Linked DNA regions of Coturnix japonica. The protein of the gene in region 1 purifies or fractionates together with the protein of each later gene. This does not show direct contact. Links are inferred from orthologs where the notes say so. Each region holds a gene or a part of one and is shown in the gene's direction. Other genes may lie near its edges. The genes, in order: LURAP1 and CDC42BPB.

Region 1 (4,346 bases):
CAAGCAGGTCTGGAGCTCCCCCAGACACCAGCTGCCTCTGGGGCACAAGATCCCACTCCTCAGCCTATTTTCTCTGAGCACCTACTGTGCCTTACACCAGGCTTGGTTTGCAAATCATATTTGCCATGGATGGTCCCTAACTGCAGGCAGAGTCCTGATGCACATAGCACGGCCATACTTTCATCTGAAAGCCTCCCAGGAAAGCCTGCATAAGTGTATCTCCAGTCATAACCAGTCCATTTGCAAATAGAAGGAGCTGGTAGATATGGCAGAATACTCCACACACAAGCACAAAGCTAGTGAGATGGCTCTTCTAGGGACATGTTATACATCCCCGACATATTAGGTCACATAGGACTCCAAGCAGACCCACCTCCACCCCCACATCTGCTCCATAAGCTCGTAAACCCCAGATTATCCTCTCTAATCCACCCCAGGCTGGCGAATGAATCACCTGGCACAGCTTCCTCAGCGCCCGCTGGTTCATCAGCTTGTACTTCCAGGCCAGGTACCAGCTCCTCTTCTTGTGGGGCTTGATGATGGGGTTGTGCTTCCACTCGTCCATAGTCACAAGGGCTGCATGGGGTGAGGGTCAGGATGCGCTCAGCTCCTCTTGTGTGTCCATCGGGGCACCCTGTCCAGATGGGGTGGATACAAGGCGAGGTGTAGAGCACAGCCAGAGCGTGTCACCAGGGGTGGCTGTGAACGAGGACACAACACGAAAGCTGCATGAAACTGAAGAGTGAGCAAACCCTCCCCACCAGCCCCACAGGGACACGAGGCTGTGCTGGAAGACCCCATAAGGAGGACAAGGCCCAGAAAGGACCGTGCTGCTGCAAAGCCCACAGGTACATAGCGGGACACTGGGGCCGGGACGTGGCCCTGCGGTAAGGCCGGGCCTCCCCCACACAGCCAGAGGGAAGAGGAGGCCGAAGGAACGGGGGACACGGGGGGACACACGGGGAGGACGTCGGGGCGGACACAGAGCTCAGCGTGGCTCCGACCGCGCTACTCACAGTGAGGCCGGCGGGCGGTGAGCGGAGCGGGGCAGGGCCCAGCCCGGCCGGGCGCCGCCGCAGCCCCTCAGCAGCAGCGGGGCCGCGCCGCTTCCGGCGCCGCAGAGACGCGAGGGGGCGTGAATTCCTTTAACCCCGCCCACCTGACGGCGCTCTGCGCTGCCTGGAGGACTCCGCTGGTACGTGGGCAGGGGGCGGGGCCGGGAGGAGGTATCACAGTCTCATAGTCTCATAGTCTCATAGTATCACAGTCTGGTGCGGGTTGGAAGGGACCTTAGAGATCATCGAGTCCAACCCCCGGGATTCGAGCCTCTGTGTAGCAGAGCGGCACTTCTAGACTTGTGCCACAGGGGGGATTCGAACCCGGACTCCAGTGTTGCAAGGCGGCATTCCTACCACTGCGCCACCGGGGGAGGTGGCGTGGCCAGAGCGCAGGGGGCGTGGTTAAAGCGCAGGGGGCGTGTCCGTGGTGACAGCTCCGCCGCCTCCTCCCGCGCGGTGCCGCCGCCCCACCCGCATGGAGGGCGGTGGGGATGCGCTGCCCGCGGACCTGCGGGAGCTGCTGGGCAAGGTGGGCCGCCGCCCCCCCGCCGGGCTGTTAAGGGGGCTCCGCTCCGAGCCCGCCCCCTCCCCGCCGTCCCCGCTGCCGGCTCCGGTTCGCGGTGCCCGCCCGCCGCTCGCCGATCGCCTCCGTGCGCTCCGCTTGGAGCTGGTGAGTGCCGGGGGTGGGGGTACGGGGCCGTCCCGGGGCTCTCCGGATCTCCGCATCGCCGCTCGCCCCCGGGAGCCGCGGGTTGCTCCTCTCCTCTCTCCTCTCTCCTCTCTCCTCTCTCCTCTCTCCTCTCCCACGCGCGGGCACCGAACGCGGCGTTTCCATAGGGAAACCGCCTCACTGCGGCTGCGGGGTGGGGGCCCGTCCTTGGCCGTGTGCTGTCCCCGTGTCGCCTCCATCCCGCACTCTGACCGCGGAAGGAAGGTGCGGAGCTCGGGCTGCTGGGAGGAGGAGGAAGGGAGAGGAGGAGGAAGGCCGCCTGCCCCGCACCTTTGGGCCCTGACTTTGAACTGTGACCGATGTAACATTGGGGTTAAAATGCCATTAGGACCCGAAATGTGGCACGGCACCGCACCCGGCTCCGCGCAACCCCATTAATGCAACGGCGCTTCGCCCCGCGTGGGCGGCACGGGGAGGGGACAGCGCGTTCCCACTCGCTTTCCCTGAGCGAGGGAGGATATTGTGTCCCTGGGGGCAAATTCCTCTCTGCGGGAAGGAGGGAAGCATGAATGGGGCGGGGGAGTGGATTCTGCCCCCGTGCAGGGCAAAGAGCCTTTAGTGCCCTTGGGGGATGAAGGAGATGGGCAGAGTTGTTGTGAAGGTGAAAATCTCGACTCCAGCTTTGTCCCCTGACACTTTAGCTCATCTTTTCACCCCGTTATTCCAAAACTGGCAGTCTCCAAGGGAAAAAAGGTGCCAATGGGTGCTGAGCAGAGATAGGAGACTGCAGTGCTGGGAGGATGGGATGGAACAGGGAAACTGAGGCATAATGTGGTGCCCTGAGAACAGGGAGCCCTGGTGGGTCTCTCTGGGAAAGATACTTTGTGGGGAGGAGATGTGCAAATGACACTTTCCAGCAATGGGAACTAAAAGCAGGTAGTGTGTTCCCATCAGCACCCAGCCCCTAACATCTGAATCTGGAACCTTGCTCCTTCCCTACCCTCTGGCAGCACCACTCCATGTGCTGGGGAAAAATGGCACTGCTCAGGGCCTGGAGACAGTGTCAGGAGGTCCCAGACTCCCTCCGTGCCAGGGCCAGTGCTCCATTGGAACGTGTGGAGAAGCCTGCTGGAGCAGTTTGTGAAATAGCTTGCCTAGAAAGGAAGTTTCTGCAGCTCAGAGCTGGCTGCTGCCCCAATCTGGGCTGTCAGCAGCTCTCCCATCTTTTTTTTTTTTTTTTTCAGTCCAGCCTGGTGGCTTTGAGGAGGGTCAGGGAGGTTTGTTTTCAGATCCCTGCAAGTATCTGCCCATTTTCTCTGTACCCTCTGACTCAAGAGGCGTCCCGTGCCAAGACCTTGACAGAACTTTCCCATGCTCCATCCTCCTCCCAGTGGCCTTGTCCTGGTGCCTGCTGTGAGATGCAGACGGGGTTCCTCGGAGACCTGTTGAGGGGATGCTGCCATTTCCCATTGGGCTTGGCTGGAGTGATGCTCAGAGCTGCGTTCTGTGAGCTCCCAAAGCACGAGTGCTGCATGCAGCTTGGGTTGTGTTTGGAGATATGGTGCCCACAGCAGCCGATGGGCTGCCCCCTCATCTCCCCTCACCTGTACCTGTCCCACTGTGTGTTTTTTTTCTCCCTTCTCCCACTGCCCTTTTGTTCCCTTTACTGGTGAAATATTTTCCTCCTGTGCAGGGGAAATCCAGTGGCTTTCAGCGGCGAGCATCATACAGACAGGAATGTCTTGGCACGCTGAGCTTTCCATTAGGAAAACAGATGTTTGTGCAGCAGCTGCGGTTCTGCAGAGAGCTTCTCCCGGCCTTGCAGGGCAGGAACTGGCTGTGCAGGGAGGGAGTGGCGATGGGGACTCCAGCCCCTGTCCAGGATTGCTCCAGGATGGGCTCAAGCAGGACGGGCACTTTGTGCCACCTCTGTTTTTTTCTCACCTTCTAGCTGGGAGCTTTGGGTGTGACTGGGGTCTTGGGCTTCAAAGACTTCCATGATGTTTCTGTTCTATGGGGGAAAGGACCATTGTCCTATGGTCTCTGAATGCATGGAGGAGATCTGGAATCACTTGGGAAGTGCTCACAATACAGAGGTGGGACTGGACCTTACTCTGGGGGTTGTCCTACTGCATCCCTGCTCAGTGCCACCAGGGTCTGGGAGTATGTCTGGGCTCAGATCTGGACCCAGTGCCTGCATCTATTCCCTTGTCCCTGTTCCTGTGGGGGTGGCTGTAGTTGGGGATGGCTGTGTGAATGCTGTATGTCCCTGATGGTGTTGCCTGCAAGTCTCAGATAGGACTGAAGGGGAAGGGGAAGGAAGGGGACACGTTGTTCCCAGTGGGAACCTGGAGCTGGAGGTGGGCAGCACGTCCCCATGTCCCCGCCTTACCCTTTCTTTATCCAGCTGAGACTTGGGGTTCTCCTGGGATGGAAGGCACAGCACATCCATCTCGCTGAGCCACGCTTTCTGTCTCCCCACCAGGCATACCTGCGCGCAGTGGACGTGAAGATCCTGCAGCAGCTGGTGGCAGTCAACGAGGGCATCGAGGCGGTGAAATGGCTGCTGGAGGAGAAGAGCACATTGACCAGCCGCTGCAGCAGCCTGGCCAGCAGCC
Region 2 (3,807 bases), on another chromosome or scaffold:
TCCTTCCTTCTTTTTTTGTGTGTGTCACCTTAAAATAACAGAATGAATTTCCTTCCCCTCATCCTCTCTGCATTCTGGTCTGATATCACCTCCAGCAGGCTTGGAGCATGTCTTTCACAAGCCCTGTGTCCTCTGAAATCCTTTTCCAGAGTGACCATTCCTCACTGCAAGGCTCCCCTCTGCTTTCTTCCTCTTCCTGTTCATCCTCTGCTTCCCTAGCAAGGGTGGGAGTACCTTCACACTGTCAGAAACAAGAACAGTGTGCTTGTGCCATTTGGACTATTGCAGAGAAAAAAAAGGGTGGGGAGGAATGAGTGCTTTGTAAGATAACTAAAGCACATGTAAGATTGCAGCATTATTTTTTGGTCTGCATTTAACGTATACAGCAGTGTGAGCTATTTGATAGCTAAATCTCCAAGAGCAAGGTGCAGAGGTACACTTCTGAGACTCTGTCCCCTCCATTTTATAGCTACTAGTCAGAGTTTTGTTTGTCCTTCACTAGCTTCTGTAAGGATAATGCATTCATCCCTTCAGCAAGAGGAGGAAGGAAGCAGAGCTATTGGCACAGTCAGTGCCCTGTCATAGAGGGTTTGCTGGCTGACAGGTTCCAATGGCTGCAATGGGGCTTAGTTCTTTCTCTGTCTTTCTCAGGGTTTGTGTCTGTTACTGAAAATATGTGGATGTGGTCAAGTAAGTTCAGAGTTTTTCTACCAACACCGAGTTGTAATAGCTTCAAAAGCACAGCAGAATTGTCACGTTTAACATCCTCTAGTTGGATAGCTTCCATTGCTGGCTAACAAAGTGTTTCATTTCAACTGCAGAGCGTCTTACCTGCTGCACAGGATGAAAAAACATGTCCATCTACAGCTAACCTCTCACGGCAGCAACAGCAGCAGAGAAGCAAAACCTATATTTCGTGGCCCTCATCAAGTAAGGCTGGAAGCAAGCTTTTCAGTTCTAAGGTCTTGTTTGTGGCTTCAACAAGAGACATAAAACTGATGTTTTTCCTTCCTTCTCTACAGGTGGCAGTGAAGGGGGGGGAGCCATGCCTTCCCGAAGTATGTCCGATCCTGACCAGGAGTTTGACAAAGAGGTAAAGGAGCTGTTATTAAATGGGGAGTGACAACGTTCTGTTGCTGTGGATTGTTTTCTTCTTCCAGTAAATTAATTATCTTGGAAAATACTTCATGAAGACTGTGTTCTTTGTGGAGATATTTTCTTTCTGCAGATGTTTTCTCTAGCACGCAACACAATCTGATTGTATGTTGGATACAGCAGCGCTGAAGCAAAGCTGAGAATCTTTTTATAGCGATATTTTAGGACATATTGTGTCCTGGATTAAGCTTTGTAGACGAGGCAATTTTGTCTAATTGATGAAATGTCCTCAAAGCTCCAAGAAATGTTCTCTGGGCTATTAGCATAGAAGAGCAAAGAAGTATTACTTAGTTAAATAGTTTCCTGCTCTGCCTTAAGGAAAACTTTTTGTCTTGTAACTTGAAAAGGAATCAAATCTTAAAACGTGTAAAGCTGTTTTTAGCCACTGTGAAATTACGTGCCAGTAGTCACCAGTCTGAAAAGGTCTGGAGCAGAGTGGTGTCCCTAAATCCTTGTAGGATGTTACCTTTCAATCCATTTACAAAATAGCTATTCCCTTTCTTGAGAAAAAAGCTGCCATAGTACCAGTGTTTCCTGTGCAGTATTTTGTAAGCTGTGAATTTGTGCAATGCTCACAGTTGTAGCTCACCAAAATAGAGGGAAACTTGCCAGCCATCCTGTTGAAGTGAGACCAGCCTGTGAAGCCAGATATCCAACAACCAGTCTAACGCTGGGGAAGTAACTGAATAGCCTGTCTGTGTTAGATACTGACGTAGGGCAGCTCCAGTAAGTATATTCTGTTTCTGGACCTCCGTCCGGCCTGGTACTTGGCAACCTCCACTCTTTTGTCAGGCATTGCACATGCTTGTCTTTGTTGCTGGCGCTGTTTTGTAAACTGTTTGTGTGCTCGTTTCCTTCCTTCTCACCAAACTGAGGATGATTTCACTGTAATTGTTTATATGGACAGATAAACCTATTCCTTGGCTATAAAAATGGCTTTAAAAGCTTAGGTTGATGAACACGGAGTAACAATGAACAGGTGGATGTGTTTTATCAAGGAGGCTTTGCAGTGGCTGAAGTAGAGGAGCCTGGGGTATGGCAATTTCCACACTTTGCCATACTTCATGTTGTATCAGAAGAACTGCATGAGAGCCTGTTAAAGATAATAAAAGTATTTGCATCAATGTTTAGCTATGAAATGTAATATATGCTACGTGGTGAGTGTTGCTCTCCTTTATTTTTTGAGCATCTTGAAAGCTTTTGAGTGCAAGAAACCGATATTAAGTGTAATTTGTTGATGTTTCTCATTAACAGCCTGATTCAGACTCCACCAAACACTCTACTCCATCCAACAGCTCAAACCCCAGTGGTCCCCCAAGCCCCAACTCTCCTCATAGGAATCAGCTCACATTAGATGGACTGGACCAGTCGACCTGCGACGCATAACGCTACCGCTCACACCGTTCTGGCTTCGGTCACCCACTGCTCTATGGAATACTCAAGAGCAGGGCAAAGCTGTCTCCGATGCTAGTGCCAAGACTGACACCGAATCTCTAGTGTTGTACAAGAGTAATTATATATCCAGATTGTAGATACAAACTATTGAAATGAAGAAAATTCTTTACTAAATAGTAATGGAGCTTTTTATGCAGGATTGTTCACTGCTCGGTTACGGTTGATTCCTTTCTGCACAGCTGTGACACAGTTTTATTGCATAGGAGCATTTAAGGCCACCAGTAAATATTGTTATTCTTACGCAGAGAAAGAAATAGAGAGAGATACTGATAATGTTGCTACAGTATCAGGAATATTATTTTTCTATAGAATTATGTAATATCTCATTAGCAGGAAATCCTTTTAGACACGATTTGGAGCTCTGGATAGGAAATGCAAGCAGTCTAGTTACATCCTCAGAAACAAAATATGCTACTCCCTTTGTCCCGTAATGGTTTGTTTCCTAATTCTTAAGGAGAATGCTAGGAAGCTGTTGGTTGTTCCCAACATCAGTAGTATCACCAGGATGTCAAGTAAAGGTTGGCTATAGTCTTGTGGCCTTGTAATTCATTTAGCCATTACATATTCAGCTGCGTAACAGTCTTTCTATCTTTCTACCAACTTTTTAGTCTTGTACATAGGACTACTACCGGTTATCTCTTACCCACACCCCGCTTTAGTCCTTGTCAGTCCCAGTCATTAGTCAGGGCTTTTAAAATATTGATCATTACTGCTGTGAAGAGAACTTTACTCATCATTCCTGCCTATCTCCTTCTGAGAGGCTGTTTCTCCCGGGCTTTTTGGTGTAAGGGCACACTGCGTTGTTTGGTGTAAGGGCACACTGCGTTGTTAAGCTGGCAGGCCTCCTTGTAGGCGCATTGCCCTTGATGTCTGCCAGAGCGAAGGGACTCACACTAACACGTCAATCTGGTTTCTTGGTTACCAAAGTGGAACGTGAAGGATGCGTAACTGGGGGTGCTGCTTTTCTCATTAACTATATCCTCATCTGCATGAAGACCCCATGATTATTAATCAAGTATTGATCATGTAGAAAAATGCACAACACACTCCTGTATATTTTGCTATGGCCCACGTGCAGTGGTGATGTTTTGCGTGTATATTTAATCTCATGCTTCCATGTATTATACGTTTAGTAATCAAAAGATTTGTGACCATGTTTCATTAAAAGCTTGTAATTAATTCAGTGGCTGGCATATC

What was found.
Region 2: the proteins of LURAP1 (region 1) and CDC42BPB purify together in Homo sapiens (co-immunoprecipitation; 3 studies listed by BioGRID and IntAct, with this or other methods). This does not show direct contact. The link is inferred for Coturnix japonica from reciprocal best matches to the Homo sapiens genes LURAP1 and CDC42BPB.

The regions. Positions count from the first base shown.
Region 1 is NC_029523.1:19,084,916-19,089,261, forward strand, and holds the start of LURAP1 (leucine rich adaptor protein 1), read left to right. Parts: upstream 1-1,478; 5' UTR 1,479-1,533; coding exon 1,534-1,728; intron 1,729-4,213; coding exon 4,214-4,346. Other genes in the region: POMGNT1 (protein O-linked-mannose beta-1,2-N-acetylglucosaminyltransferase 1), read right to left, coding at 455-565. UniProt on the Homo sapiens protein: Acts as an activator of the canonical NF-kappa-B pathway and drive the production of pro-inflammatory cytokines. Promotes the antigen (Ag)-presenting and priming function of dendritic cells via the canonical NF-kappa-B pathway.
Region 2 is NC_029520.1:45,406,470-45,410,276, reverse strand, and holds part of CDC42BPB (serine/threonine-protein kinase MRCK beta), read left to right. Parts: intron 1-821; coding exon 822-930; intron 931-1,022; coding exon 1,023-1,093; intron 1,094-2,409; coding exon 2,410-2,541; 3' UTR 2,542-3,807. UniProt on the Homo sapiens protein: Serine/threonine-protein kinase which is an important downstream effector of CDC42 and plays a role in the regulation of cytoskeleton reorganization and cell migration. Regulates actin cytoskeletal reorganization via phosphorylation of PPP1R12C and MYL9/MLC2.